Linked DNA regions of Oryctolagus cuniculus. The protein of the gene in region 7 binds, or shares a complex with, the protein of the main gene of each other region. Links are inferred from orthologs where the notes say so. Each region holds a gene or a part of one and is shown on either strand. Other genes may lie near its edges.

What was found.
Region 1: NUP160 (region 7) and CETN3 share a complex: the UniProt entries of both Homo sapiens proteins name them as parts of the nuclear pore complex. The link is inferred for Oryctolagus cuniculus from reciprocal best matches to the Homo sapiens genes NUP160 and CETN3.
Region 2: NUP160 (region 7) and NUP188 share a complex: the UniProt entries of both Homo sapiens proteins name them as parts of the nuclear pore complex. The link is inferred for Oryctolagus cuniculus from reciprocal best matches to the Homo sapiens genes NUP160 and NUP188.
Region 3: NUP160 (region 7) and CETN2 share a complex: the UniProt entries of both Homo sapiens proteins name them as parts of the nuclear pore complex. The link is inferred for Oryctolagus cuniculus from reciprocal best matches to the Homo sapiens genes NUP160 and CETN2.
Region 4: NUP160 (region 7) and NUP85 share a complex: the UniProt entries of both Homo sapiens proteins name them as parts of the nuclear pore complex. The link is inferred for Oryctolagus cuniculus from reciprocal best matches to the Homo sapiens genes NUP160 and NUP85.
Region 5: NUP160 (region 7) and NUP93 share a complex: the UniProt entries of both Homo sapiens proteins name them as parts of the nuclear pore complex. The link is inferred for Oryctolagus cuniculus from reciprocal best matches to the Homo sapiens genes NUP160 and NUP93.
Region 6: NUP160 (region 7) and NUP107 share a complex: the UniProt entries of both Homo sapiens proteins name them as parts of the nuclear pore complex. The link is inferred for Oryctolagus cuniculus from reciprocal best matches to the Homo sapiens genes NUP160 and NUP107.

Annotation. Positions count from the first base shown.
Region 1 is NC_091445.1:13,137,649-13,141,748, forward strand, and holds the start of CETN3 (centrin-3), read right to left. Parts: upstream 2,801-4,100; 5' UTR 2,658-2,800; coding exon 2,641-2,657; intron 110-2,640; coding exon 1-109. UniProt on the Homo sapiens protein: Plays a fundamental role in microtubule-organizing center structure and function. As a component of the TREX-2 complex, involved in the export of mRNAs to the cytoplasm through the nuclear pores.
Region 2 is NC_091432.1:232,157,719-232,161,218, reverse strand, and holds part of NUP188 (nucleoporin NUP188), read right to left. Parts: intron 3,232-3,500; coding exon 3,162-3,231; intron 2,780-3,161; coding exon 2,712-2,779; intron 2,283-2,711; coding exon 2,087-2,282; intron 1-2,086. UniProt on the Homo sapiens protein: Component of the nuclear pore complex (NPC), a complex required for the trafficking across the nuclear envelope. Required for proper protein transport into the nucleus.
Region 3 is NC_091453.1:131,267,398-131,271,611, forward strand, and holds the start of CETN2 (centrin-2), read right to left. Parts: upstream 2,801-4,214; 5' UTR 2,586-2,800; coding exon 2,580-2,585; exon of another isoform or gene 2,223-2,579; intron 2,128-2,222; coding exon 1,969-2,127; intron 1,659-1,968; coding exon 1,530-1,658; intron 870-1,529; coding exon 732-869; intron 292-731; coding exon 202-291; 3' UTR 1-201. UniProt on the Homo sapiens protein: Plays a fundamental role in microtubule organizing center structure and function. Required for centriole duplication and correct spindle formation. Has a role in regulating cytokinesis and genome stability via cooperation with CALM1 and CCP110.
Region 4 is NC_091448.1:5,331,375-5,335,404, forward strand, and holds the start of NUP85 (nuclear pore complex protein Nup85), read right to left. Parts: upstream 2,801-4,030; 5' UTR 2,676-2,800; coding exon 2,643-2,675; exon of another isoform or gene 2,260-2,642; intron 1-2,259. UniProt on the Homo sapiens protein: Essential component of the nuclear pore complex (NPC) that seems to be required for NPC assembly and maintenance. As part of the NPC Nup107-160 subcomplex plays a role in RNA export and in tethering NUP96/Nup98 and NUP153 to the nucleus.
Region 5 is NC_091449.1:40,502,587-40,506,086, reverse strand, and holds part of NUP93 (nuclear pore complex protein Nup93), read right to left. Parts: intron 1,926-3,500; coding exon 1,793-1,925; intron 131-1,792; coding exon 1-130. UniProt on the Homo sapiens protein: Plays a role in the nuclear pore complex (NPC) assembly and/or maintenance. May anchor nucleoporins, but not NUP153 and TPR, to the NPC. During renal development, regulates podocyte migration and proliferation through SMAD4 signaling.
Region 6 is NC_091442.1:71,074,031-71,077,530, reverse strand, and holds part of NUP107 (nuclear pore complex protein Nup107), read right to left. Parts: intron 2,821-3,500; coding exon 2,676-2,820; intron 413-2,675; coding exon 309-412; intron 1-308. UniProt on the Homo sapiens protein: Plays a role in the nuclear pore complex (NPC) assembly and/or maintenance. Required for the assembly of peripheral proteins into the NPC. May anchor NUP62 to the NPC. Involved in nephrogenesis.
Region 7 is NC_091432.1:18,219,428-18,222,927, reverse strand, and holds part of NUP160 (nuclear pore complex protein Nup160), read right to left. Parts: intron 2,364-3,500; coding exon 2,253-2,363; intron 2,094-2,252; coding exon 1,970-2,093; intron 879-1,969; coding exon 777-878; intron 1-776. UniProt on the Homo sapiens protein: Functions as a component of the nuclear pore complex (NPC). Involved in poly(A)+ RNA transport.

The DNA.
Region 1 (4,100 bases), on a different chromosome or scaffold from region 7:
ATCTTTGTCTGTATCAAAAAGTTCAAAGGCATCTTTAATTTCTTGTTTCTGTTCCTCAGAGAGCTCTCTTCTTTTTTTTCTCTTTGTTTTGTCTACTACAAGCTCACTTCTATAAAATGGAAACAAAAAAGTCATTAGTCCACTCTAATCGTATTCTCTTATGCAAACTAAACAATCAACAACTTTCTAAATTTCCAAAAAGGAAATATGTTGAAGAAAGATAAAGTATTTTTTCTGTATGAGTTGACATCCTGCTTGTTCCATAGTCCACAGTTCTATGAATGTACACTTCCCAGTATGAAGCCGAAACTCTGACAGAAATGGGGAACAAGGGCCACTGTCACAATGCAATGGATTAAGCCACCACCTGCCACACTGGCATCGCACATGAGTGCCAGTTCAGGTCCCAGCTGCTTCACTTCCAATCAGCTCTCTGCTAATGCACCTGGGAAGGCAGACAACTATGGCATGGCTCAAGTGGTTGGTTCAATCACCCAAATGGGAGACCTGAATGGAGTTCTTGGCTACTAGCTTCAGCCTGGCCCAGCCTCAGCCATAGCGGCCATTCAGAGATGGAAGATTTCTCTGACTTTGTCTCTGTCACTCTTTCATATACGTTTCAAAAAAAGGGGGGGGGGGGGGAACCAAACCTTCCCTCCTCCCAACTCAGAAACAAGAATGGTCAGAGGAGGCTGGCACTATGGCGCAGTAGGTTAATCCTCCACCTGTGGTGCGAACATCCCTTATGGGCACTGGTTCTAGTCCCAGCTGCTCCTCTTCCAATCCAGCTCTCTGCTGTGGCCTGGGAAAGCAGTAAAAGATGGCCCAAGTCCTTGGGCCCCTGTACCCACATGGGAGACCAGGAAGAAGCACCAGACTCCTGGCTTCAGATCAGCACAGCTCCAGCCGTTGCGGCCACTGGGGAGTGAACCAACAGACGGAAGATCTTTGTCTCTCCTTCTCACTGTCTATAATTCTACCTCTCAAATAAATAAATAAAAAACCTTAAAAAAAAAGAATGGTCAGAAATATTACTTTCAGACCAAAAACCTCAATCAAAACCAAATCAACACTTATATCATTCTGCAAAAGTGGAAAAAAATCCAAATCAAAGTAGAATTCATAATTGACAATCAACATAAATATTTATTATACTTCAGTATATTTCTTGTAATTAAGTTTTCAAGATTACTACAAAAAAGTGCCAAATAATTTATCAATTAACCTATATTTTGGCATTGTAAGTTCAAAACTATTTTGGATCACATCTAGGTACTTTGTTTGTAGTTTCTTCCATCAATATTAACATGTCAGCCAACAAAGCAGTGAGTCTAAATATATCATGAATGTTAAAAGATCAAAAAGTGGTATGTAGCATTTGTGCTTACTTCCAAAAAATGTGAAAATTCTTGTCTCATTTAACTTATAAACTATAGGTCAAACTTCTCATAACTCTGGAAAAGAGTAAAGAAAATGAAAAGCAAAATTATTTGGAAGTTAGGAATGTCTTCCATCTGAGACAGATGTAGAAGTGCTTCAGAGTTTCAAATGAGAACACCAATTCTGTAAGAACACGTTTTAAAAATTCTAAATGTAAAACCAGTTGATTGTCTCATAACAGATCATCTTATTTGCATGTGAAAGCCATGGGGGGGGGCGGGCAGCATCGTGGCCCAGCAGGTAGGGCTGCCTCTCAGGTCCAAGGAACACAAACCCTGAGTCCCAGCTGCTCCCCGGGAAGGCAGCGGAAGATGGCCCCAAAGCTTGAGCCCCTGCCACCCAGGAGGGTGGCATGTTCAGGTGAACTGCCATGTTCAGGGCTCCTGGCTCCCCCCTGTGCCAACCCCAACCATGGACGCCCTTTGAGGACTGAACCAGCGGATCCAAGATCTCTTTCCCTGTCTCTTTCTGTCACTCACTCTGCCTTTCAAATAAATAAATCTTTAAAAAAAAAAAAAAAACAAACAAACAAAAAACTTATTTTGGTTTCTGAAATCTTAAGGGGGAAAAAAAGGCAATAGGGATGGCTACCAAATGACAGCAGGTGCAGTACGTCAGAGCTGAGGAAGACCTTCCCCAAGAGACCCGAGTGGACACACACCTGGGCACAGCCGGGGTCAGCCATTCCCCTGCCCGGACTGCCCGCGGGCAAGTCCGGACCCCGCCCACACCTGACCGCAGCCAGGGCCACCCGTGGCGGAACACAGTCTCTGAGCACCTGCCTTCAAGGCTATCTGACACGGGGGGTGGGGTGGGGCACAGACCGAGGGCTAGGGTCGGGACAGAAGACACCGACTCCGGGCGGGTCTCCGATTCGGCGGGGCCGGGGGCACACGGGCGAGCGACTCCGTGGGCAGCGGTGCGGGGGCCAGGTGGGCGGGGTCGCAGCACCGCACGCCCGCGGCCCACCCCCCTAGGCCGAAAGCCCCGTGCGCGGCCACAGGCGACCACCTCGGCAGCGAGCGCCGGGCCGGTCACCTGCAGGGCTCTGCACTCCCGGGGGGCTGGGGGCTGGCAGGCCGGCGAGCCCCCTCCTCACCTCGGCCCCAACGGCCTCCCTTCCACACCCACACACGCACGCGAGCACGCCCGGGGCCCGCTCCGCGGCGTGGGGAGCGCGGCCGCCTCACGACTACCGACCTCAGAGCTAAACTCATTTTCCTCCCCGGACAGACACGTTCCTCTCAGAGACTTTATGCCCTGGCCCGAAGCAGCAGGACTCCCACAAGCCGTTCAACAGACGCGAACGGCCGCTGCCACCACCAGCCCCGCCCAGAAGACAGACACTTCTGAGCGGGATTGGTCGAAACCCGCTAAGGTTGTGCCCCGCTCGGCACTACGCCCTATTTTCATTGGATGGCTTTAGCGTCAGTCAAAGGAGCGTTTGTGCCCGCCTCTCCCGTGCCCTCCGGCCCCTTAGATTGGCCAGCTGCTTTTTCCCCGAATCCTTTGCGGGCCGGCGTGTGGACAGCTCCCAGGTAGGGAATGGCGGGGAGGAGACCGGTGCAGGTGCTCTCAGAGACGTGAGCTTAATTTTTGCGGCCAACCCAACCCTCAGCATCCTACGCAGGCTCACTTGCGACCGAGTTTATGCACGTCATTCATTGTGTCCCCAGTGGCTGGCTGCAGTTGATGTTCCTTTGGGTCCTAGATGTTAGCAAAACGTTTGGTGTCCTCTTAACGACACAGTTCGCTATCATTAAATAGAGTGTGTTTATGAAGAATTCAACATATAAATCTATTAAATAATCATAATGCTAGATAACCGAGATGATCTCAAGGACAAAATATCCCTTACTCATTCTAAGATACATATTAATAAAGCAGGTATGGACAGTGCTTTTTTTTTTTTTTTTTTTTTTTTTTTTACCATGCTGAATAACACACTTAGAATGGAACATTAGGGTTTCTCAACCTTGATCCCCGGAACACTAGAGTTTTGTGAGATGCTTATGGTCATTTCATAGAGAATGACACTGTGGACAAGTAATTTGGGAAAATGTGTTTTTACTTGTTAAGGTCAAATGTCGTCAGTGCCATACCCTGTTAAGGGAATGATAGGGAAGTCACACGCATCACTTCTCTTCACATTTAAGCCGTGGAAACTAGTGACATGGCCACTACTTGCTTGCTGTAAGGGAGGCTGAGAAGAGCTCTCTAGTTTGGATGCCATGTTCCCTGATAAAACATGAGGTCATACCATCTGTTACTAAACATAAAATGGGATTAGCAAGTCTGCCACAGAAACCATTAAAATGGTTATCAATATTATCCTTGAAATTCTCATGAATGATGCAATAAAACAAGGGGAAGAAGTGCCACATGAAATTAACATTGTGTATGAATTATATAACACCTGGAAAATCCAAGAATACCAAAGAAGCTATTGGAATTGATAAAAAGAATTCAGTAAGTAGCTGATCATCACATTTGAGAGAACAATGATTATAAGATATAATAATAGCAAAATGGATTTCACAGAAATAATTTGCACAGGAAATCTATAGAATCAGATATGGACTGCTTCTAAAAGTTGAGATGACCTCTGGCCAACAGCTAGAAAGGAAATGGGGCGGGGGGGCAGCACTGTGGTGAAGTGG
Region 2 (3,500 bases), about 210 Mb from region 7:
CATTGGCAAAGAGTTCTTGGAAAAGACTCCAGAGACACAGGCAACCAAAGTCGAAACTGACAAATGGGATGACATTAAATTGAGAGGCCTCTGCACTGCAGAAGAAGCACTCAGAAAAGTGAAGAGGCAACCGACAGAATGGGAGAAAATATTTGCAAAATATGCAACTGATGAAGGATTAATAACCAGAACATATAAAGAAACCAAGAACTTCAACAACAACAAAGCAAACAACCCAGTGAAGAAATGGGCAAAGGACTTAAGCAGGCATTTTTCAAAAGAAGAAATCCAAATGGCCAACAGAGACATGAAAAAATGTTCAGGATCACTAGCCATCAGGGAAATGCAAATCAAAACCACAGTAAGGTTTCACCTCAACCCCATTAGAATGGCTTTCATACAGAAATCTGTAACAAACAACAAATGCTGGCGAGGAAGTGAGGAAAAGGTATCCCAATCCACTGTTGGTGGGGATGTAAAATGGTACAGCAACTGTGGAAGACAGTATGGAGACACCTCAGAAATCTGGATACATATCTACCATATGACCCAGCCATCCCACTCCTGGGAATTTACCCAAGAGAAATGAAATCAGCATATGAAAGAGTTACATGTTTACTGCAGCTCAATGCACTATAGCTAAAATATCAACCTAAATGTCCATCAACTGAAGACTGGATAAAGAAATTATGGGCACGGCACGGGGTTGTAGTTCCAGTTGCTCCTCTTCCTGTCCAGCTCTCTGCTGTGGCCCAGGAGGGCAGTGGAGGATGACCCAAGTGCTTGGGCCCCTGCACCCACATGGGAGACCAGGAAGAGGCACCTGGCTCCTGGATTCAGATCAGCACAGCTCTGGCCATTGTGACCATTTGGGGGGTGAACCATCGGATGGAAGACCTTTCTCTCTGTCTGTCTCTCACTGTCTATAACTCTACCTGTCAAATAAATAAATAAAATAAAATAAATTATGGGATATGTACACCATGGAATTCTAAACAGCAATTAAAAAAAAAAAAAAAAGAAATGCTATTGTTTACAACAAAATGAATTAAACTGGAAAACATCATACTTAGTGAAATAAGCCAGCCCCTAAAGGACAAATCCCCTATGTTCTCCCTGATCTGTGATAACTAATAGAACACCTAAAAGGTAATCTATCTACAGAAGTGAAATCAACACTTCGAGATGCAATGACTTTGAACAGCCCTTGTCTCAACTGCTGCAGAAGAGTTTTTCATAAACTTTGTTGAACTCTTTACTTAGAGTTAATTATTTACTTTGAGTTAACTGAATTGAAAATGGATCTTAGTAAAAAATAAGACTGCAAATAGGGGACAGAGGAGGAAGAGGGGTGGGAGTGTGGGTGGGAAGGTGGGTGTGGTGGGAGGAATCACTATATCCCTAAAGTTGTATTTATGAAAAGCATGAAGTTTGAATTTTTTAAATGAAAGATTTCTGGGGCGTGGAGGGGTGGGGAGGAAGAGCTGCCTGGAACACGGAGGACCTACCAAGCTGAAGTTGTTAGCAAAGTCAAGACATTGAACTGGATCCCCCAAGGAAGAGCAGTTGACGCCAAGTTCTTACAACCCAGCACGATGGTGGCAAACCACCCAAAATGCCAGCAAGAATGCACACTCTTCCCAAATGGTATAGCTTTCTCTCTTTTCTACTCTCAGCAGACACACAGTGGCGCTGAGACCATGGCCCTGTTCTTCTCAAAGACCTGGAAGTGCAGTGGCCAAAACCAATGAAAACAATGCTGTCTTGTAGCTACGGGGCACACATTGCAAGGCAAGCAGGCAGCTGCGTGAGTGGCAGGCGAAGTGAGAGTGCACCTCAGACGTCCAAGGCCCAAAGGTTGCTAAGGAGGCCGTCGTGGGTGTCCGCGGGATTTTAAATTACATCTCTTGTTGGAGCCAACACCCTTCAAACACCCCAGATAAGCCCAATCTCTGGACACAGAAATCAGTAACATTTTGGCTCTCAGGGAAAATCCTGGTTCTTTATCTCAAGGCATATCTGGCAGGCATCTCACCAAGTCACTGCTAAGACCCCAAGCTGCAGACTCGCCCGAGGGGAGGCTTACGTGACTGGTGGCGATGATGAGCAGCATCCGCCAGGCAGACACCAGCATCTGGTACTCCAGGAAGCAGGTGCAGCCGCTGCCCTCCGTCTCCGCCGTGTGAACCGCCAAGGACTTGACGTACCCTGACCAGTAGGCAAAGCGTTCCTCACCGGCAAACTTCTTGAGTATATCTTTTAATGACTGGTCTAAGGAACCCCTGTGATGTCAAGAAGAAACAAAACCCCCAGGTAAGACATGACAGCAGCTGGGAATCTGACGGGCACAGACCCTTGCTGAGGCAGGGAGAACCACCTCACATGGGCTTAAAGGCAGACGGCTCCGGATCACCTCCAGGGTGTGGGGGTCACACTTCTCGCTCAACATAATGGGTTAGGCTGAGGCCTTTCCAGGATTCCTCCGCCATGAAATCCCGGTCACATGGAGCTTGCGCCACCATAACTCTTTCTGACAATTATAAACGCCATCAGTGGACTGGCCAGGGACACGGCTCACTGGCCCTCCATAAATGGCTCCAAACCAACTCTCTCCTCTGCCCTGGCTCACAGCCACGCACCCAGTGGTAGGCCACTACCATCTCCCCCACCCCCAACCTTTACTGAAAGTCTCACACAGGGAGAGGACTCACTTAACTACATAGTATATCTCCAAGCAAATTATCTTCATGATTAAGGCACAGGTCTCCAGGACGCTGGGCTGTGGAGGGGAGAGCAGAACAGACAGCAGTCACACGCAGAAACCTCTTCCCGGGGGCCCCCACCCTGCAGGAGGGCAGGGCCCCAAGACGTGGGAACAGGCAAGTGCACGCCCTATCGAATGTGAACAGGCAGGAGCATCAGGGCCACACGGCCCCAAGACAGGGGAGAAGCCCGGAGCCATCCACCCAGAACAGGGCAGGCCACCTTCCCAAAACAAGACAGCAAAGGGGAAGGAAGCAGGCCCTGCCCGGAGAAGGAAGCTTCTGGTGAAGAAAACGCTCCGGTGTAACTGGGGCAGGTACCACTTTCTGCACTGCAGCCCAGCCCAACCTTTCCGCCCAGAGACTGGCAGCAACCGCCCGCCCGCCACTGCGGCTCACCTCAGACGTCTCCGAGGGAGGAGACAGGGTTCCAAACAGCGGGCATGTCAAATTTTCCCAAAACTTGGGCCTAGGAGGAAAACACATTGTGGAAACCAGATTCTTGCTCTCCCATGGTCTACACTTTGCAAGATTTTCTCTCTCTGCCTCTCCTCTCTGTATAACTCAGACTTTTAAATAAATAAATAAATCTTAAAAGGGGGGGGGGCTTTGATGCAGTCAGGAGAAGGCAGGAACACACACACAGCTGAACCTTAGAGAGGATGCTTACTGGCATCAAGATCTCAAGAAGTGTAACACTCCCCCACATGCACTTCCATGCACGTTGCCAGAGCACCA
Region 3 (4,214 bases), on a different chromosome or scaffold from region 7:
TAATCAGCAGGTCATTTTACAAAGAGATTGAGTATCAAAGAACACTTTAAAAGTCTGAAATAGATTAGAGGCCATAACTAAAATTATGTAGGGAGGTCAGTGCAGGAGAAAATAGTTTGTGTTCTCAAAAGCCAGATTTTACACAATGGCAGGCACTAAATCTAGTTAGGTGTGCTTGCAGTAGAAAAGACGACATGGATCTTAGTAAAGGCTGGTCTTTTTCATGATGCGCAGGAACTCTTGCTCATTGACTTCTCCATCTCCATCTCGATCAGCTTCATCAATCATTTCCTGCATGACAGTAAAGATTCAGAGAACATTAATTCATAAAATAAACAAAAAGGTGACTACATCATAGGCTTTAACATTGCTATTTGAATAGACAATTGTAGTCTACTCGATACATTATAATAACTTGGCTCTTGAAGAGTCATTGGAAAACCAAGTCATATTTTGTCATACATGTCACCTGGAAGGAAGTTCGAAGGACTTGACCAGAAGGACTCCCAAAACCTAAAACAGTAAATAAAACTGTACACACATGCATTTTTCTGGAAGCAGGGTCATAGGATTGTCAGACTATCAAAGGAAAGTTACGTTGTTAGCAAAGGGGCCAAAGAACAGTATCTTTCATTCAAAGAGGTTTTCCCACCAGGGAAAAATCAAAAGCAGAGAAGTCTCAGAGGGCTCAACGGTGGGAATTCACCGTTCCAGCCTCACACATGACAAACCTGTAGCTCCTCATCTGTCAGGTTCTCGCCCAACTCCTTGGCCACGCGTTTCAGATTTTTGAATGATATCTTTCCAGTTTCATCATCATCGAAGAGCTTGAAAGCTTTCAGAATTTCTTCTTTGGTATCTTTCTCAGACTTAACAAGTAGAACATAAAATGCATTATCAGGAAAACACCATGGTTACCCGTGTTCCATAGCCCCACCACTGCCCATTCCCCCCCCCCCCATTTACAACAATACAAGCCAAGAAGACAAAGAACAGAATTAGAGGCAGCTGCTGAGACACCTAGTGAACCTGACACTGCACATTGGCATGCTAAGCCCTGGTATTTTGCTGTGTTCTCCTGTTCAGAGTTTGCTCTAGTTCAAATGCCAAGGAGGGACTTCCAGGGGAATCAACTTCTTAGATTCATTCCCTAACCCTCCACCTTGCATTTAAAAATGAATGGTGTCTACAGTTTTTCTATTTGGGTTTATCACAGATATATCAGTTGGAAAAACAGTGAAAAATGACACTTTTGCTACTTTACAAAGGGTGAAATGACTTCATTAGTTTGTGACCTTGAAGAAAGCCAAAGAGAATTTAGGCTAATTCTCAGTCAAAAATACTATCTTTTATCAGATGAATTCTCCAATCTTTGTCAATTTTTCTCCAATTAGGTCATTTTCACATCTAGACTAGATAGATAGACTTTATCACTATTTTAAAATTATTTTTGCATTTACTCTAGATAGATAGACATTATCTATCACTATGAGTAAAAAACATGCTAATGGTTATCTCAGCTAACTTACCATTTTCTGAGTCATCACAGTCAAAAAGTCACTAAAGTTCATTTTTCCAGTGCCTTCCTTATCAATTTCACTTATCATTTTCTTGATTTCTTCTTTCTTGGGTTCAAACCCCAGGGCTCTCATTGCCACCTGTAAGGAAACAGGAATGTCTCAATATGCATATCTGAATCTAGCAGGAGCAAATATAAGTGTTGAGAATATTAAGCCAACATCTACCATAATAATGGTAAAATGACTACAGAATAAACATTGATGTAACTGACCTTTGTTGTCAATTTTATTTAGTAACACTTGGCATAATAAAAGACAGGAAAAGAGAGCACAAAAATCCCAGCCCTGTTAGTTTTTACAGGAAGGAGAGGGCAAAAGGGGTAGAGTTGTGACAGAGAAAGGGTAAGGAAGAAGCAGAGGTAGTATAGCAAGAACGTGCAGGGCTTACCTTAAGTTCTTTAACATCTATGGTCCCAGTTCCATCAGCATCAAAGAGATCAAAAGCTTCCCTGATTTCTTGTTTCTGCTCTTCAGTAAGCTCAGGCTTAGGACTCATCCTTTTCCGCTGGGAACTAGATGTTATGTTTCCCTTCTTAAAGTTAGAGGCCTGTAGAAATTATACGAACACATGAGCACACTATTATGTAATACAGTCCATAGTTACAGACACTGCTATCTCTTTTAAAACTAATTTATACCAACCAATTCCCAATTTCTGCTCAACAAGAGATAATGGGGTTTATTGGAAAGAATGAAACTTCCCGTGAAGCGCTCTCCCTCCCTTTTCTTTAGTAGTATTTGTTAGAAGCAAAGAGATCCCTTGTTCTTCGGATACATCACTCCGAGGCAGTTAGCTAAGGAAGTGACTGTAGATAACTCGAAGTGAGTACTGCCCTCCCTGAACGCGGGGATCCTGGCTCCAAAAACAACCCCTCGCGGTACTAGGCTTCCCAAGAGGTACTCTGACTTTCCGATTACTTCTGGATTTGGCCAAAGATTATTAAGTTGTTTAGATAAGTGTTCTGTCCATATCAAATAGTAAAACAATCTATTTGGCACCTTCATGCCCTCCCCAAGATGCTCAAAGCATCTCCGGAATGCCCATATTTAAATTGTAAAATACAAGTTAACAATCAGAACATAACAAAGCTCCTCCCAGGTGGGGGAAGTTTGGCAGAGAGAGGAGGCCAAGATCTGAAAGGGCCAGGATCTGAGAGGGGTTGGGCCCTCTTCTTTGCCTAGGAAGTCCCCGAGGCGGGTAGAGAAAGCCAGGGGGACCCGAGGGACGGGTAAGGGCCCGCTGTGCATGACGGGGAGGCTAGGGCGAAGCGCAGGCCCAGCGGGGTGGCTGGCGTGTCTACCCTTCCGGGAAAGAGCTCAAAGGAAGGATCAGTGCACTAAAGGTGAGCAAGAGAGTCAGTGTGGTGTGGCGGGGCCGCAGCCCTGAGAAGGACTCAGTCCCTGGGTGCAAGGCCGGACTGGGGAGCCAGCACTCACCATAGCCGACGCACTCCGCTGCCCGTTGTTACGGCAACCTACGTACACACCGACTCGGCGCCATTCCCACCGCCCCGCGCGCGCGGCCCAGCTCCCTGTTGGCTGCCGGCTCACCTCCAGCGCTCCCCATTGGTCTACGTCTGGAGTGGGTAGGGCTAACCTCACAAAGCCCGGGCCCAGGCGGGGGGCGGTGCGCTGGGAGGGTGAGACCTGCTCTCATTGGACAACATCACGCTGAGAGCTCCGACTGGCTGAGCCGACTCTAGGCCCGGCCAATCCGCTAGGTAGAAGGAGCTCGGCTGATTCTCAGCTCACACAGGCGGGGAAAAAAGGGTGGCCTTCCTAGGCTGGAGCTCGGTCCTTGTCGGCGGCGGGCTAGCTGAGATCAACCGGGGGACATTTACGGACCGAAGGGTAAGAGTCGCCACGTAGGCTTCGGAAGCCGCTTTGTATCGGCGACAGGGCAGGGCGGGCGAGCGAAGGACTAGGCGGGGCGGTCTGAGTGGCAGTGGTTTTCTGGTCTGGCCTAAGACTGAGTTAGGAACAAGGGCATCAGGAAGATCCCAGGACCTTCGTGTGGGAGCTGGGACTGTACTTACTCACAGGATAGCTGAGACCCTGACAGGGGAAGGGGCGTGCTGAGTGTCGTCGCAGAGGGTTTGACATCTGGCACGTAGACTGGTTGTTTGAGAGAATACAGCAGGTTCCAGGAGCAGCCCGGTACAGTGAGTCGGAGACCTTGACAATGGGTGTTGAACGACGTGAAGGAGGTTCCTCCTCATGCTTGTCTCAAAATACACTCTTTTTGACACAGACTCTCAAGGCAGTCAGGGAGGAGAACTCCAGGCCGAGACACCCTTGTGAGCAAAGTCACGGGAATTGTGGAAGAAGATCTCCAGGGGAGCATGAGTAATGGTAAGGGCTGACTTGAAACTGCAAAAGGACTGGAGTCTGCCCTCCTTAGACAGCTCCACGGGTCTCAGCTGCACCTACTCATGCGGCATTGAGGCGGTTATCTGGGGAGGCAGAGGACAGAGCAGAGGTTTCTCTGGCTTCAAAAGGCCTGAGGCATCCTAGCACATCTTAAGAGGAGTGTCTACTCTTTGCCCTCTTCCTCTTTACAGCAGTGAACTGGGTTCAAAACTTTGTGTTCATGTTTAACTTTCCCTGCCCTCTCCCCTGTATCTAGTCTCTTAA
Region 4 (4,030 bases), on a different chromosome or scaffold from region 7:
AAAGTCAGAGTTGGGGCTGGCGCTGTGATGCAGCAGGTTAATGCCCTGAAGCGCCGGCATCCCACATGGGCACTGGTTCGAGTCCTGGCTGCTCCACTTCCGATCCAGCTCTCTACCATGGCCTGGGAAAGCAGTGGAAGATGGCCCAAGTCCTTGGGCCCCTGCACCCAAGTGGGAGACCTGGAAGAAGCTCCTGGCTTCGGATCGGCTCAGCTCCAGGTGCTGTGGCCATTTGGGGAGTGAACCATCGGATGGAAGAACTCCCTCTCTCTCTCTGCCTCTCCTTTCTCTGTGTAACTCTTAAAAAGAAAAAAAGGAGAGGAGAGGAAAAGAAAAGTCAGAGTTACAGATAGAGAGGGAGAGACAGAGACAGAGAGATCATCCATCCACTAGTTCACTCTCCAAATGGCTGCAACAGCCAAAGCCAAGAGCTTTTTCCCGCGTGGGTGCACGGGCCCAGATGCTTGAGCCACCTTCTGCTGCTTTCCCAGGTGCATCAGCAGGGAGCTGGATCAGAAGTGGAGCAGCCAGGATTTGAACTGGTGCCCAAATGGGATGCTGGCCTTGCAGACAGAGGCTTAACCCACTGTGCCACAGCACTGGCCCCAAGCCCCTAAAATCTTTAAGTAATTGAACTGATTCTGAAGAACAGGAACTTCCAATCGTTACTCCTGCGCACAGCTATGCTGGCGCCTCCAGACAATTATCCCCGAAACAGACCAAGCCCTTTGCGCCTCGGCTTCACAAATCGACTTACAAGCTAACCCAGATCAGCAGCCAGGAGGGAAACCCTGAGGCTCACCCTTACCTCCAAACCTCACCCTTACCTCCAAACCTCACCCAGTCTCCAGCCGGCAGGAGTGACCCCAGCTCCGGCTCCGGCCTTCCCACCTGTGTCTGACCCAGCGGTAAGTCCTGGCCGCCCCTGACAGGAGCCCGAGTCTGATCACCACGTCTACAGCCCAACTGAGGCTACCAGCAACTCTCCCTGAACGACACTTCTCAGTCCCTGAGTGATCCTCTCACATGGCCATCACTTGCCCTGTAAACAGACGGCGCTCACAAGGGCAGGGGCTTTAGGATCTTCACGCACTGCCTACAGAGACCCTGCCGCACAGAACTCGGCTAGCGACGGCCTAGTCTCAAGACAAGCGAGTTCGGGCCTCAGGAAGACCTAACGCAATCCCTGAACAACTAAGCAATGCTGGGCTCTAAGAACACAACGTGAAAAAGCCTCTCCCCTCCAAATGCGGGCAGTTTACAAGAAGAGCAATAGGGGGCGGCGCTGTGGCCTAGCAGGTAAAGCCGCTGCCTGCAGTGCCAGCATCCCACATGGGCGCCAGTTCGAGTCCCGGATGCTCCACGTCCGACCCAGCTCCCTGCTGTCCCCTGGGAGAGCAGTGGAAGATGGCCCAAGTCCTTGGGCCCCTGCACCCACGTGGGAGACCTGGAGGAAGCTCCTGGCTCCTGGCTTCAGACCAGCGCAGCTCCAGCTGTTGCAGCCACTGGGGAGTGAACCAGCGGATGGAAGACCTCTCTCTCTCTCTCTGCCTCTCCTTCTCTCTCTGTGTAACCCTGACTTTCAAGTGAATCAATAAATCTTCAAACAAACCAAAAAAAGAGCAATAAACAGCAGGCAGACAGAAGCCAAAGGTACAGGCACACGGGAGAGAGTCGGATTAGCCAAATCTTGACGGATGAGCAGGCCGGCAAAGGGCAAGTGTTCCACACGCACTCGAAAATTAACCACACAGTAGAGCAAGACGCGTAAGACCCGAAGCAAGCACGGTAGGAGTCTGCCTGCTTCCAAGACCACACGCACAGACTCCAGACGAGACGCAGGGCCCTCATCAGGGTGCTCTGCAGGGCCACAGCGGGTTTCACCGCCACCTGGGAGGCCGCAGCCCACATCTGAGAACCGGGTTCCAACCTGGGCTCCTCCCAGCGCAGCCCGCACGCTCGGGCCCCTGCTACCCTTCCGGGACAGCAGCATGGAGCTCTGGCCCCGGGCTCGCGCCTGGCCCGAACCCGGCTGCTGCAGCCACGGAACACCTCTCTCTCTCTCTGTCGCTCCGCTCCGGATAGGTCCAGAACCTTTCGTGAAAATGAGTGGAACTGAAGGGTACCCAGACACGCGGAACTCTGCGAGCCCGTCACGGGCTGACTCTTGTCAAGGAAGGGAAAAGATCGCGGGCCGCGAGACCGGCGGGCTTCTCCTGTGCAGAGCCCAGGAACTGCTTTACCGCCGATCATCCGCACCTGACACACTCGAGAGTCCAAGCGGAACTGAACGCACAGCGATGTTAAAAACAGTGTCCCCGAGAGAATAAATACGTTCACTAAACTTCGGGCTAGCACTGACTAGCAGGCAGAAACTCAGGACAAACAGGGAAGCCCCAGCTCCTCTGCTCAGCCCGAGCCCAGTCTCGTGCCCACGAGGAAATGCGAAGGCAGTAGGGTCAGGGAGACAAAAAGAGGGGTGGGACGGCGACAGCACGGCTGCACCCTAGTTCCTAACGGAGCCGAGGAAGGGGCTGGGCACCGCGCGGCCGGCAGGGAGCCGCGCTGACAAGCTTGAGATGACCCAGCGGACGCCGTCCCGGGGCGGCGAGCGCAAGCAGGCCAGTCCCGGGCTCCCTTACAGTGACTGTCGGCTCGCCATCCAGCTCCTCCATAGCGCCGCGCCGCCGACACGCTCCTCCGCTCGGGCCTCCCGCTCAGGAGCCTGCCGCGAGAGAGGACCCCGCCCGGGCGCCCCCGGCTGCGCCTGCCGCCCAACCCCGCGGCGCCGCCGAGGCCTCGCCTCTCAGCCACGACCCACCCCTGTGCCGCCCTCGCCATGCGTCCCTCCTTCACTGCCTCCGCAGAGCGTCCGGGAAGGACAGCGCGAGGGCAGCCTATAGTCACAGGCGTGATCTCGCCCGGTCAGGCAGCGCCGCGGACAGCCCCGCGCCGGGCAGAGAGAAGGCCCCCGGAGACGGCGGGAGAGACCGCGGGGCGGACGGCAGTGCGCCTGCGCACGCGCGGACTCGGGTGGGTGTCGCCGGGCGGTGGCCGGGGTCAGTGCCCACGGTGGCGGCCCTGGCTCCCCCGTCTGCGCTGCGTGGCGTCCGCACAACAGCGTCTCCGAGCCCCGGCGATCCAAAGGGCGTACGTTAGGAAGCTGTCGCCGCCATTGCCTCTCCGGAGCGCGAGAGGCGCGCGGACCTAATTGATGGCGTCTAAACCGGCCGCGAGGAGTGGACGCCTGTTGATGCTGGTTCTGTGCGAAGCGGCGCGCGCGTCCGTGACGCCCCTGGCGCAGGAGAGAGGGGCTCCAGTGACCTGCAGCAGGTGTTTTCGGAGTGACACATGGAGGGACGGTGGCGCCGGGCTCCGCTCCCCCTCGGCCACCTGGGCGAACTCAAACTCGCGACTTGGAAGTCTTAGGAAGCAGCTCAGCGCGGGAGGAATCTGGCCCGAAAGGCTGTAGCAGGGCGTCCCCTGGGCCGAACGCGCCTGTCCCTGCCGGAACTGGGAGTCTGTCCTGGCGCCCAGCTGTGTGTCCTTGTCGGGGAGCGCGGGTTCGAGTCCCGGCTGCTCCACTTCCCATCCAGCTCCCTGCTAAAAGCAGCGGAAGTCCTTGGGCCCCTGCACCCACGTCGGGGACCCAGCTGGAGCTCCTGGCTCCCCGCTTCAGCGTGACCCAGCCCCTGCCCATTGCTGCCGTTTGGGGAGTGAACCAACAGATGGAAGATGCATTCTCTCTCTCTCCCTCCTCTCTGGGTCTCTGCATTCAAATAAATAAATACTTTTTTTTTTCAAAAGTGCCTGCTACACACCTATTGAACTTCAAGTCCTACGCCCGGTGCCCTCGGCAGGCCCAGACCAAGTGACTTAGGGGCTTTACACGGCCCACAGGCCAGTGTTCCCCACCCCTGACCTAAGGGGTTCAAAGCTGCCTACTGTTTCCAAAAAGACACTAAACACTGAGTAGCAGATAACATTTTCAAAGTAGGGCAGGCGTTTTCCCTGGCAGTCAGGACGCCTG
Region 5 (3,500 bases), on a different chromosome or scaffold from region 7:
GGAACCAAGTTTTAAACTCTCCCAGCTGGTGCTGCGCTCGATTAACCACTTGTGAAGCGGCAAGCAGGTCTCCACAGCGCATGCAGTAATAAATTAGTGCCCACACAGGATGGCCTTCCACTTCGCCGTCCTGAAAGAGGAAAGACACATTCAAGAGAAATGAACAGAAGCTAACTGATTGTTTTTGACATACCAACACCCACTAAGCCCCTATCCCTGTACTAAGTCACCTAACCTTCACAACCCCACCAGGCAAGAACTGTTGACAGCCTCCTCCTCCTCTCTGTCCAAAGAAGCTGAGGCACAGGGAGGTTAGGTCATTTGTCCAAGGTAAGCTGGTAAGTGGCAGCGGCTCAGCTCTAAATACCTTACTTGCTGCACAGCCAGCCCTGTGGCTTCCCCAGGGAACCTCAGTGGTCTGCAGTGCCCAGGTGACATGTTCTGTGGTAACTGACAGACACGCACTCCCACAACCCCTACAAAGTCAGGGCTAAAGGTGTCCAGGAAGAGACTATCATATGGTAATACCTGAGTTTACATAATATTAACTACACCACGAGCCAACTGCGGACTCTGCCAGGCACCAGGGATCTGAAAGGCAGCTCTGTTCTACTCTCCTGTCTGCTCTGGTCATCTGCCTGTGCAGCAGACCTATGCATGCCTGTCTCTGTCTCTCCCCACTCCTATTCGGAATAGTGAACCACAGACATCCTTTCCTGGCCCTTGCTCTGTGGCAGACTCTTTCTAAAGCCCAAATTTATCATGTCACTTGCTCACCCAAACTCCTCTGAGCTGAGAAGTCTGAAGTGCTTAGCCTGGCATTCAAGGCCTTCATACTCCTGACACTGACACTCCAGATCCTCTTTCCAGCTCCCAGGTTTTTGTTCCTGGTGTTTTCCCCTCCTGAAATTCCCCTTTCCTAGACTGCAGTCTGGTGAACACTTATTTTTTAAAAGCAAGCGAGACTTGAGGCTGGCGCTGTGGCATAGTAGGTTAATCTTCTGCCTGCAGTGCCGGCATCCAATATGGACGCTGGTTCTAGTCCTGGCTGCTCCTCTTCCAGTCCAGCTCTCTGCTATGGCTTGGGAAAGCACTGGACGATGGCCCATGTGCTTGGGCCCCTGCACCCACGTGGGAGACTCAGAGGAAGCTCCTGGCTCCTGGCTTCGGATAGACCCAGCTCTGCCCATTGTGGCCATTTGGGGAGTGAACCAGCAGATCAAAGACCTTTCTCTTTGTCTCTTCCTCTGTCTTTAATTCTCTCAAATAAATAAATAAAAATCTTTTAAAAAAAAAAGCAAGACTCTCATCTGCTTTATGAAGCCAGCCTCCCTTTATCTAATTATCTTAGTCTCATACCTGGATAAGATAATTCCCTCAGCTGGATTGTGAGCTGGATTGTGAGCTGGGAAGAGGGTACACGCCCTAAAAATCATACCCAACTCCAATCTTGCAGCTGTTCTGGTAAAAATCTCAGAAGTCATCCCTGACTCTGCCTTCATAGCCCCATCCAAGGTCATCAGCAAGTCCTCACAGCTCAACTTGCCTGACACATTTAGAACTGGAGGATACCTTCCACCTCCCTGCTCCTTCACCGCGGGCTGAGCAGCCACCACCACTCATCTGGGCTCTTTACTACCACCAGCCCAAGAGGCATTCAGCTCCCCACCCCCCCTTCCTTGGTCTCTTTTCCATACGGCAGTTTCCCTATATATCCTGCCTTTAACTGAAAATGCAATCTGAGAGCAACTGCTCTGGGTATAACTGATATCACAGAGAATGGTGTCTATACCTGAAGTCCAGGCAAGGGAGCTGGAAGTTTAATGTTCAGGAAACTCCGAACCAACTGGTAAGTTCCAGGCACGCCACCCAACTGGGCCTGATGCAAATTTCCAAAGACAGTCACAAGGGTGTAATTCTTGTAACTGGAAAAACACAAAAAGGAAAACAAACAATGAGGAGGTTGAAAATATCTATTGCACACATCTATGTCCGCATCTGTGACGCTGGGCTCTGAACGCTACAGGGCAGGCCCTGGACTTAAACCTAACACAAAAGAGAAAGTTGCATATGCTTAATTAAACAAACTACACTGCTTAGTCAGTGGGCAGCAGATCAATGTAAAGACTTTGCCTCACTGTGGACACTCAAAAGAATCCCCAGAGGAGCACAATTCAAGTGCAGTAAGGGCTGATGTGCAGATGAACTGTTCCTGCTCAGAACCTAATGCTTGTTACACTTCTACATTTTGAAAAATTTCAAACCTGCAAAATTAAAAGGATAGTTTAACCAATACTTATATATTCCTTTACTGAGCTTCAACTGTTAGTAACATTTATGTGCACGTCTCTCTTTCTATCCACACAAGAAATGTGCTTATACTTTTTCTGAATCATTTGAAGATATGTTCTAGAAAGCAGGGGCTAACTCATCTGTAAATTCTTTATCATGTAGCTCATAGGAACTAGGATGTTCTCTTAAATAACTCCAAAATCACTGACATCAAGAAGTCTAACACTAAAACTGTCCTCTAAAATTTCTTAAAAAGGTCCTTTATAGTTTGTTATCTTTTAAAATCCAGGATCTAGTAAAGGAATTCACAACAATCATTTGGCACCCCTTTCATTTCCTTTAATGTAAGATAATTCTACCACTTTTTTTTGTCTTGCAAGATACTGATATCTTTTAAAATAACACACCCCTCTAACTGCACACACAGACCAGGCCAGTGCCGTGGCTCACTAGGCTAATCCTCCACCTGTGGCACTGGTACCCTGGGTTCTACTCCCGGCTGGGACGCCAGATTCTGTCCCGGTTGCTCCTCTTCCAGTCCAGCTCTCTGCTGTGGCCCAGGAAGGCAGTGGAGGATGGCCCAAGTCATTGGGCCCTGTACCCGCATGGGAGACCAGGAGGAAGCACCTGGCTCCTGGCTTCAGATCGGCATAGCACGCCGGCTGTAGCAGCCATTTGGGGGGTGAACCAAAGGAAGGAAGACCTTTCTCTCTGTCTCTCTCACTGTCTAACTCTGCCTGTAAAAAAAAAAAAAAATACAGACCAGGTGACAGGGAGAATGTCCCACAAGTAGGGTCATTTCCTCATGATCAGATTCAGGCTCCACTTTGTTGCTGATAGCCTTACACAGCTCATGCTGGTACTTCCCACTGAGACCCACAAAGAGAGGTGGCAAGTAAGCTGTTTCCTTCACGACTGGTAACACTAGATCTGATCCATTTGGTTAACAGCAGTTGTCTCTCATATTTCCCATTGTAATTTAGTATTATTCCTTTGTAAAGAATAAGTCATCTGCTGGGTAATTCTTGGGAAGTCATGTGAATATTCTGCTCCTTTCTTTAGCTTTTAGTTGGTTTTAGTTTCCACTGATGGTCTCTAACAACACAATTACTACACTGCTGGTTGTGAAATGATAATTTTCTCTTCATTTATTTGCAAGTATAGGTCTTAAAATCCTCTACAGAGTTCTTAAGTGCTTCCTATACAAG
Region 6 (3,500 bases), on a different chromosome or scaffold from region 7:
ACAGCAGTGGGCACCTGTCACCCACGTGGGATACCCATATGAAATTCCAGGCTCCTGACTTCCATATAACCCAGCCCTGGCCATTGCAGCCATTTGGGTGGAAAAATCTCTCTCTCTGTCTCTCTCACTCTGCCTTTCAAATAAATATAAGATTCTTTTTTAAAAAATTTGGTCTGGCTGCACTCTCCGCTATTTTTGCCACTAAATTCCTAGACATCCCCTTTCAGTACACAATAGATATTAGCAGGTTAATGCTGTTTAGCAAACTAAAAGTACTAGAGTTTGATGACAGGGTGAAATCAGCTCACCTGACTAACACAAATGTTTTCGTACTCTTCCACAAGGTCAAAAACTGTAGTTGAAGAGTGCTTCAAAAAAGACTGCAGGAAATCAGAAAACATACTCATGGATGCTAAAATACATTAAAAAGAAAAGGAAAAAAGAAAAGTTATAGGACATACTTTTAGGTAATTTTGATTGAAAAATTAAAAACATAGTTTTTAAAAAGAATTTACCACTGTAAAGAAAGAAAATTTACCATTGTAACTATTTTTAAGTGTACACAGTTCAGTGACACTAAGCACATCCACAATGTTGTGCTACTATCACCAACTTCACTCCACAACACTCATTCTTACCTTGCAAAACTACAACTCTACCCATTCAGCAATAACTGCCAATTCCTCACTATCCCCAGTCCCTCGCAACCACCATTCCACTTTCTGTCTCTATCAAAGTATCTCATATAAGGGAGATCTATATGATCTAGTCTGTCCTATTTTGACTTGCTTATTTCATTTAGCAATGTCTCAAGGTTTATCCATGTTAGCAGGTGTCAGAATGTCCTTCCTTTTTGGCTAAATACTACTACTACATTTTATGTAAATAGCACACAATGGATGGACACTCAGCTGCTTCCACTTTTTGGCTACTATGAACATGAATATTTAAATATCTCTTTGAAATCTTGCTTTCACATCCTTTGGGTATATATGCATAGGCAGAACTATTGGATCATAAGGTAATTCCTCGTTCAGTTTCTTGAGTAACTGCTTTACTATTTTCCAAAGTGGCTGCACCATTTTACATTCCCACTAATAGTATACAAGGGTTTCAATTTCTCCACATCATTTTCAAATTTGTCATTTTCTCCATTTTTTATAGACCTCCTAATGGTGTAAGGTGGCATCTCATATTAGTTTTGATCTACATTTCTCTAAAGATAAGTGATTTCACCTTTTCACGTGCTTACTAGCTATTTGAAAATCTTTAGAGAAACATCTATTCAAAATTTTTGCCCATTTTATGAGTTACAGCAGTTACAGGAGTTGTTTTTTTTTTATTTTTTGGATTTAAGCCCCCTTTCAGCTAATTTGCAAATATTTCCCACTATTCCACAGGCTGCCTTTTCACTCTGTTGATTAGATTCTTTGAGGCATAGAAATTTAAGATTTTGGCATAGTCCAACTTATCTATTTTTTCATTTGTAACCTATTAGTTTTGTAAGATCCCAAAGATACAGTAGTCATTAATGTTTCCTATTTTGTCAACAATTTTAAAAATTGGGCCACATTTTAAAGCATCTGAATTACATTTTAAGCACAGCATAACAAAATGGCTAAGAATTACAGTAGCTACTCAATGCTCTGTTCAGGTAAGGGAAAATGCATTTGCTCTACTAATATTTGAGTTCTCATCCTAAAATTGAATTCTTGTATTTTACAGAATAAGTAGGAAGTATTTTTGGGGAACCCAAGATTCAAGTATGTATTACTGCAGACACTGCAAGAAAGTGGTGGTTACCATGGTGTTAAGGGCAAGGCTCTGGAATCAAACTGTTTAGTTTCAAATCCTGGTGCCACTACTTCCTAGCTGGGCGATTTTCTGCAAGCCAGTTAGCCAATCTGAGCAGTGGTTTCCTTTCCTCTAAAATGAGAACAATCATTCTAACTATGTAATGGATCTTGGTAAGGATTCCAGGAGTTCATATTCGGAGAGTGATAACCACACAATTAACATCCATAAGGTAGCTGATGATGATGATAAACTCAAGAACATGGTATGTAGGTACACAGACACTAAAAGCAAATGGTCTTGTACAAAAGGAAACGTTAGTAACAAACCTAAAACTAGCAAAGTTACAATACTTTCTGAAAAAGCAGCACTGCTGTCCAGGTTAAAGCTCAACACATCAGCAGTGTTAGATTACAGCTAAGCCTAAGTTCTTTTGGTGGCACAAATAAGAATACAAATAGGAGACCTGCAATGATCCAAAGGCTGCTGTTTATGCTAACAGATACAATGGCAAGACGCTGCTGACAACCCAGGAGGGCTTCTCAGGTTCTCACACTTCCAGAGACAGCCAAGAGCAAAAGCAATTCACACAATGACAAATATACAGACAGAGGGAAGACCCAGCAAAGACTTTCCTGATAGGAATTGTCCTCCCATGGAAGGAAAGAGGAAGAGGCCTTAGAAAAAACCAACCCTGCAGATATCTGTACATTGGATTTCTAGCCTCCAGAATTCCAAGAAAATAAATTTCTGGTTTTTTAAAGCCATCCCTCCCTTTAAAGGAAAAAATAAAACCATGACATTCAGGAACAGGAGAAGAAAACATCGTGACATTAGTCAGGAGAAGAACCGCTTTATCGCAAGGCTCCAAGCCACTTTACCAGCCTCGCCAGGATCATCCTCACGTAGCATGACCGCGCTGAGATTCACGTCCTCTGTGACACTGTGGGCGTCTACACCTGTGTACAGCCCTAAGCGCTGGGATGAGAACGCAGCCGCCCAGTTACTGTCATCCAGATTGGTTATCTTGGAAGGAAAAAGATGCAGAAAAGTGATGGAGCTATTGTCACTGAGTGAACAAATGCTTTAAAAATGAATAAGGTTCAACCACATTTTAAAAACATTACTTCTGTGTATTTTACTTTTAAAAGATAGCCAACAGGGGTTATTATGTTAAGGAATTTATGGATTTTTAATGTTTTCTTCTTTGTATTACTCCATGCTTTTAAAAAAGTTAGTAAGGATTACATTTTGTAAAATTAAGCTAATATTAGCAGATAAAATTAAGCCCTACTTCGTAAGTACTATAAAGGATGGGAGAACCAGTTTTCTTCAGCAGTTAAAAACAGATGAGGGCAGGTATCGTTGGTGCAGCTTGAGATGCCAGCATCTCACATCAGAGTCATAGCCACTCCACGCTTTTGATCCAGTTCCCTGGGAACACGCCTGGGAGGCTGCAGATAATGGCCCAAGGCCTTGGGTTCCTGCCACCCATGTGGGAGACCTGGATGGAGTTCCCGACTCCTGACTTCAGGCTGGCAATCCTGGCTATTCTGGGCATTTGGGAACTTATCCAGTGGATGGACAATCTCTCTGTCTCTCCCACTGTCTTTGTCACTCTGCTTTTCAAATAAATAAATAAATATGTATATATATATATATATATATATATTTTTTTTTTTTTTTTTTTTCCAAAAAGATGGAGG
Region 7 (3,500 bases):
CCATCAGCAGGGAGCTGGATTGGAACTGGAGTAGCCGGGCCTCAAACTATTGACCACATGGGAAGTGGCACTGCAGGTAAACAAATAATTTAAAAGAAAGAAAAGAGCAAAATAATCTGTGTAGGATAATTTAGTCAAAGAAAAACTACAGCGGAGCCAGTGCTCCATATGGATGCTGCTTCGACTCCCAGCTGCACCACTTCCAATCCAGCTCTCTACTATGGCCTGAGAAAAGCAGTAGAAGGTGGCTCAAGTCCTTGGGCCCTGCACCCATGTGAAGAGACCCAGAGGGAGTTCCTGGCTTCGGATCAGTGCAGCTCCAGCCATTGCAGCCAGCTGGGGAGTGAACCAGTGAATGGAAGGCCCCCTTCTCTCTCTCTGCCTTTCCTTCTCTGTGTGCAACTCTGACTTTCAAATAAATAAATAAATCTTAAGGGAAAAAAAAAAAAAAAAAAGCTACAGAGGCAGGCATCATGGCAATGCTGGTTAGTGTCAGCTACTCCATTTCCAATCCAGCTTTCTGCTAATGCAGACCCTGGGAAGCAGCAGATGATGCTCTAGCCACTCATATAGGAGACCTAAATGGAATTCCAGGCTTCTGCTGCACCCTGGGCTGTTGCTGGCAGGTGGGGAGTGAACCACCAGATGGATGATCTCTCTCTATCTCTACCACTCTGTCAAATAAATTCTGAAAACAAAAAAAGAAAAGCAAAAGCAAAAGCTACAGTTTTGAGGCAGGTGAACCCTCCCAGAACTAGATGAACACACTGCTGTACCTGGATTCTTTAGTAGTGATGACAGATGACAGCTGATTGGCTGCTAGCCAGGTCCAGGCTTCTGCCTGTGCGGCTTCTCCTCCAAACTGCAGTTTGATGCATCTGCAATGAAAATGGCTTTATATCAGTAAACCAACTGCTGAAACCCATGACCTTATTCTGCTACTAAAACTGGAGTGATAAGATGACAATTTTCGATCCAGTCTACCATCAAATTCACTACTGAAGTACTGGCTCTTCCCTTTCTTCAAAGCCACACAACCTGATGAACCATCAGCCATTAGCAAGACTTGAGACAATTTACTTCCAAGAGAAAATTAATGGTAGAAAATTCTGAAAGTCTAAATACATTTCCAATTCACAAACTATTTGACTGATAGTAGGCATACATGACGTCAATAGGAAACATTTAAGACTGGGTAAAGCTGCCACCTGTGATGCTGGCATTTTATTTGGGTGCTGGAAAAGCAGTGGAGGATGGTCCAAGTGCTTGGGCCCCCCTGCACACATGTGGGAGACCCAGAAGATGCTCCTGGTCCTGGCTCTGGCATGGCCTATTGCGGCCATTTGGGAAGTGAATCAGGGGACAGACGCTCTCTGTTTCCCTCCCTCTCTGTAACTCTGCCTTTCAAATAAAATAAATCTTTGAAAAAAATTTTAATAACATTCAGAGGGTCTAACTGGACTGAACACAGCACACAACTTGTCTATATAAACTTGTCATAAATGGACCTCATTAGTTAAACCATGAGGTTTGCTCTTTTGATTTCTTAAATGAAGCTAAAGATCAAAATATTTTTTAAAAAAAGTAAAATCATAAGCCACTAAAAAAAATTAATGAACAGCTTAAACCAAACACTTTCTTTAAGTCACAAACAACTAATAAACCACTGGCTTGGGGTCTGCCAGGAGCCCATGAGTGCCGATTCGAGTGTCAGCTGCTCCTCTCTGATCCAGCTTTTGCTAATGCTCCTGGGAAGGCAGAAGATGGTCCAAATATTTGGATCCCTGCCACCCACATGGTGGACAGAGATGGAGTTACAGGCTCCTGGCTGCGGCCTGGCCCAGCCTCCAGCCATTAAAGCCACTTGAGGAACAACCAGTGGATGAAAGATCTCTCTCTCTGAGTTTTAAATAAAATCAATCTTCAATAAAAGAAAATTAAGACAATAAAAAGACAATTTTATACATACTTGAAAGCAAGTCCCTCAAAGACTGGTGTTAAGGGAAGCTTAAAAGTCTGACAGAGGGATATGGCAGTGTCAAAGAGGCCAGCCTGAACCAAGAGAGTCACCATCTCCTCTGCTGACGAGCTTCCTGCAGAAAGGGAACAAGGTTATTAGTCCACTCACGGGCATATGCAAATTGGACTAAAAATGCCGTGCTTTATACCCATCTAGCACACTGTATCCACTGCCTGGTCCTGAAAGGCACCACGGTACCCACAGTCAGAGGCTATACCTGCTCAGTCCCTACCTGCCACGGCAATTGCCGATGGATCGTGCTGGGCCAGAGTGAGGCGGATTCGAGCCAAGGAGCACTCTTTTTCCAGATCCTCCAGCTCCAGGATTTCAATCTGCCGATTTGCTAGAAATCAAAGAGAAGTATTTTCAAACCCATGAGGAAGTGTCTACTAGATAAAGTCAACCTGTCATTTTTTTTTAAAGATTTATTTGTGAAATAGGGAACAAAAGAGATCTTATACCTACTGGCTCATTCCTTAATTAGGTGCAACAGCTAAGACTGGGCCAGGCCAAAGCCAGGAGCCAGGAACTCCATCCTGGTTTCCCACATGGTTAGCAGGGGCACGCACTTGGGCCATTTCCTACTGGTTCCCCAGGCACATTAGCAGGGAGCTGGATCATAAGTACAGCAGGTAGGACTTAAACCAGTGTTCAGATGGGATATGGCATCAGACACAATGCTGGTCCTGTCATTTTCTTTTAATCTTAAGTAAAATTTACTTCACAGAGGCATTAATTAAAGGAAAAAACAGAGGACTCAATAAAAGCTAAATTAAGCAGCATTCTGCCTCCTATCTACAACTGAGCCCAAGCACTCTAATAACAATAGCTACAGTGGAGGAGCTCCTCATAAGGTATTTTACGTGTAATTTAACTCTTACTGTCATCATTATCACTAAGAAAGGAACCTGCAGGGCTGGTGCTGTGGCAAAGTGGGTACAGCCACCACCTGTGATGCTGTTCTGCTTCCAATCAAGCTCCTTGCTGACACAACTGGGAAGGCAGCAGAGGTTGGCCTAAGTACTTGGGTGTCTATACCCATGTGGGAGATGCAGAGGAAGCTCCTGGCTTCTGATTGGCCCTGGGGAGTGAATCAGCAAATGCAAGATCTCTTTCTCTCTCTAACTTTGCCTTTCAAATAAATAAATCTTAAAAAAAAAAAAAAAAGAGAGAGAGAGAGAGAGAGAGAGAGAGAGAGAGCGAGCAAGTGAAGGAACCTGCACAAGGTGACAAAGGAAGAATTAAAAGCAAGTGTGTCCAAATCTAGAGCATAGGTTCTTCAGGAAGGATACCATGCATACTTGATAATTTCAAAGCAACCAGATTTTTTTTTTTTTTGACAGGCAGAGTGGACACTGAGAGAGAGAGACAGAGAGAAAGGTCTTCCTTTACCATTGGTTCACCCTCCAATGGCCGCGCGGCTGGCGCACCGCACTGATCTGAAGCCGGGAGCAAGGTATTTCTCCTGGTCTCCCATGCG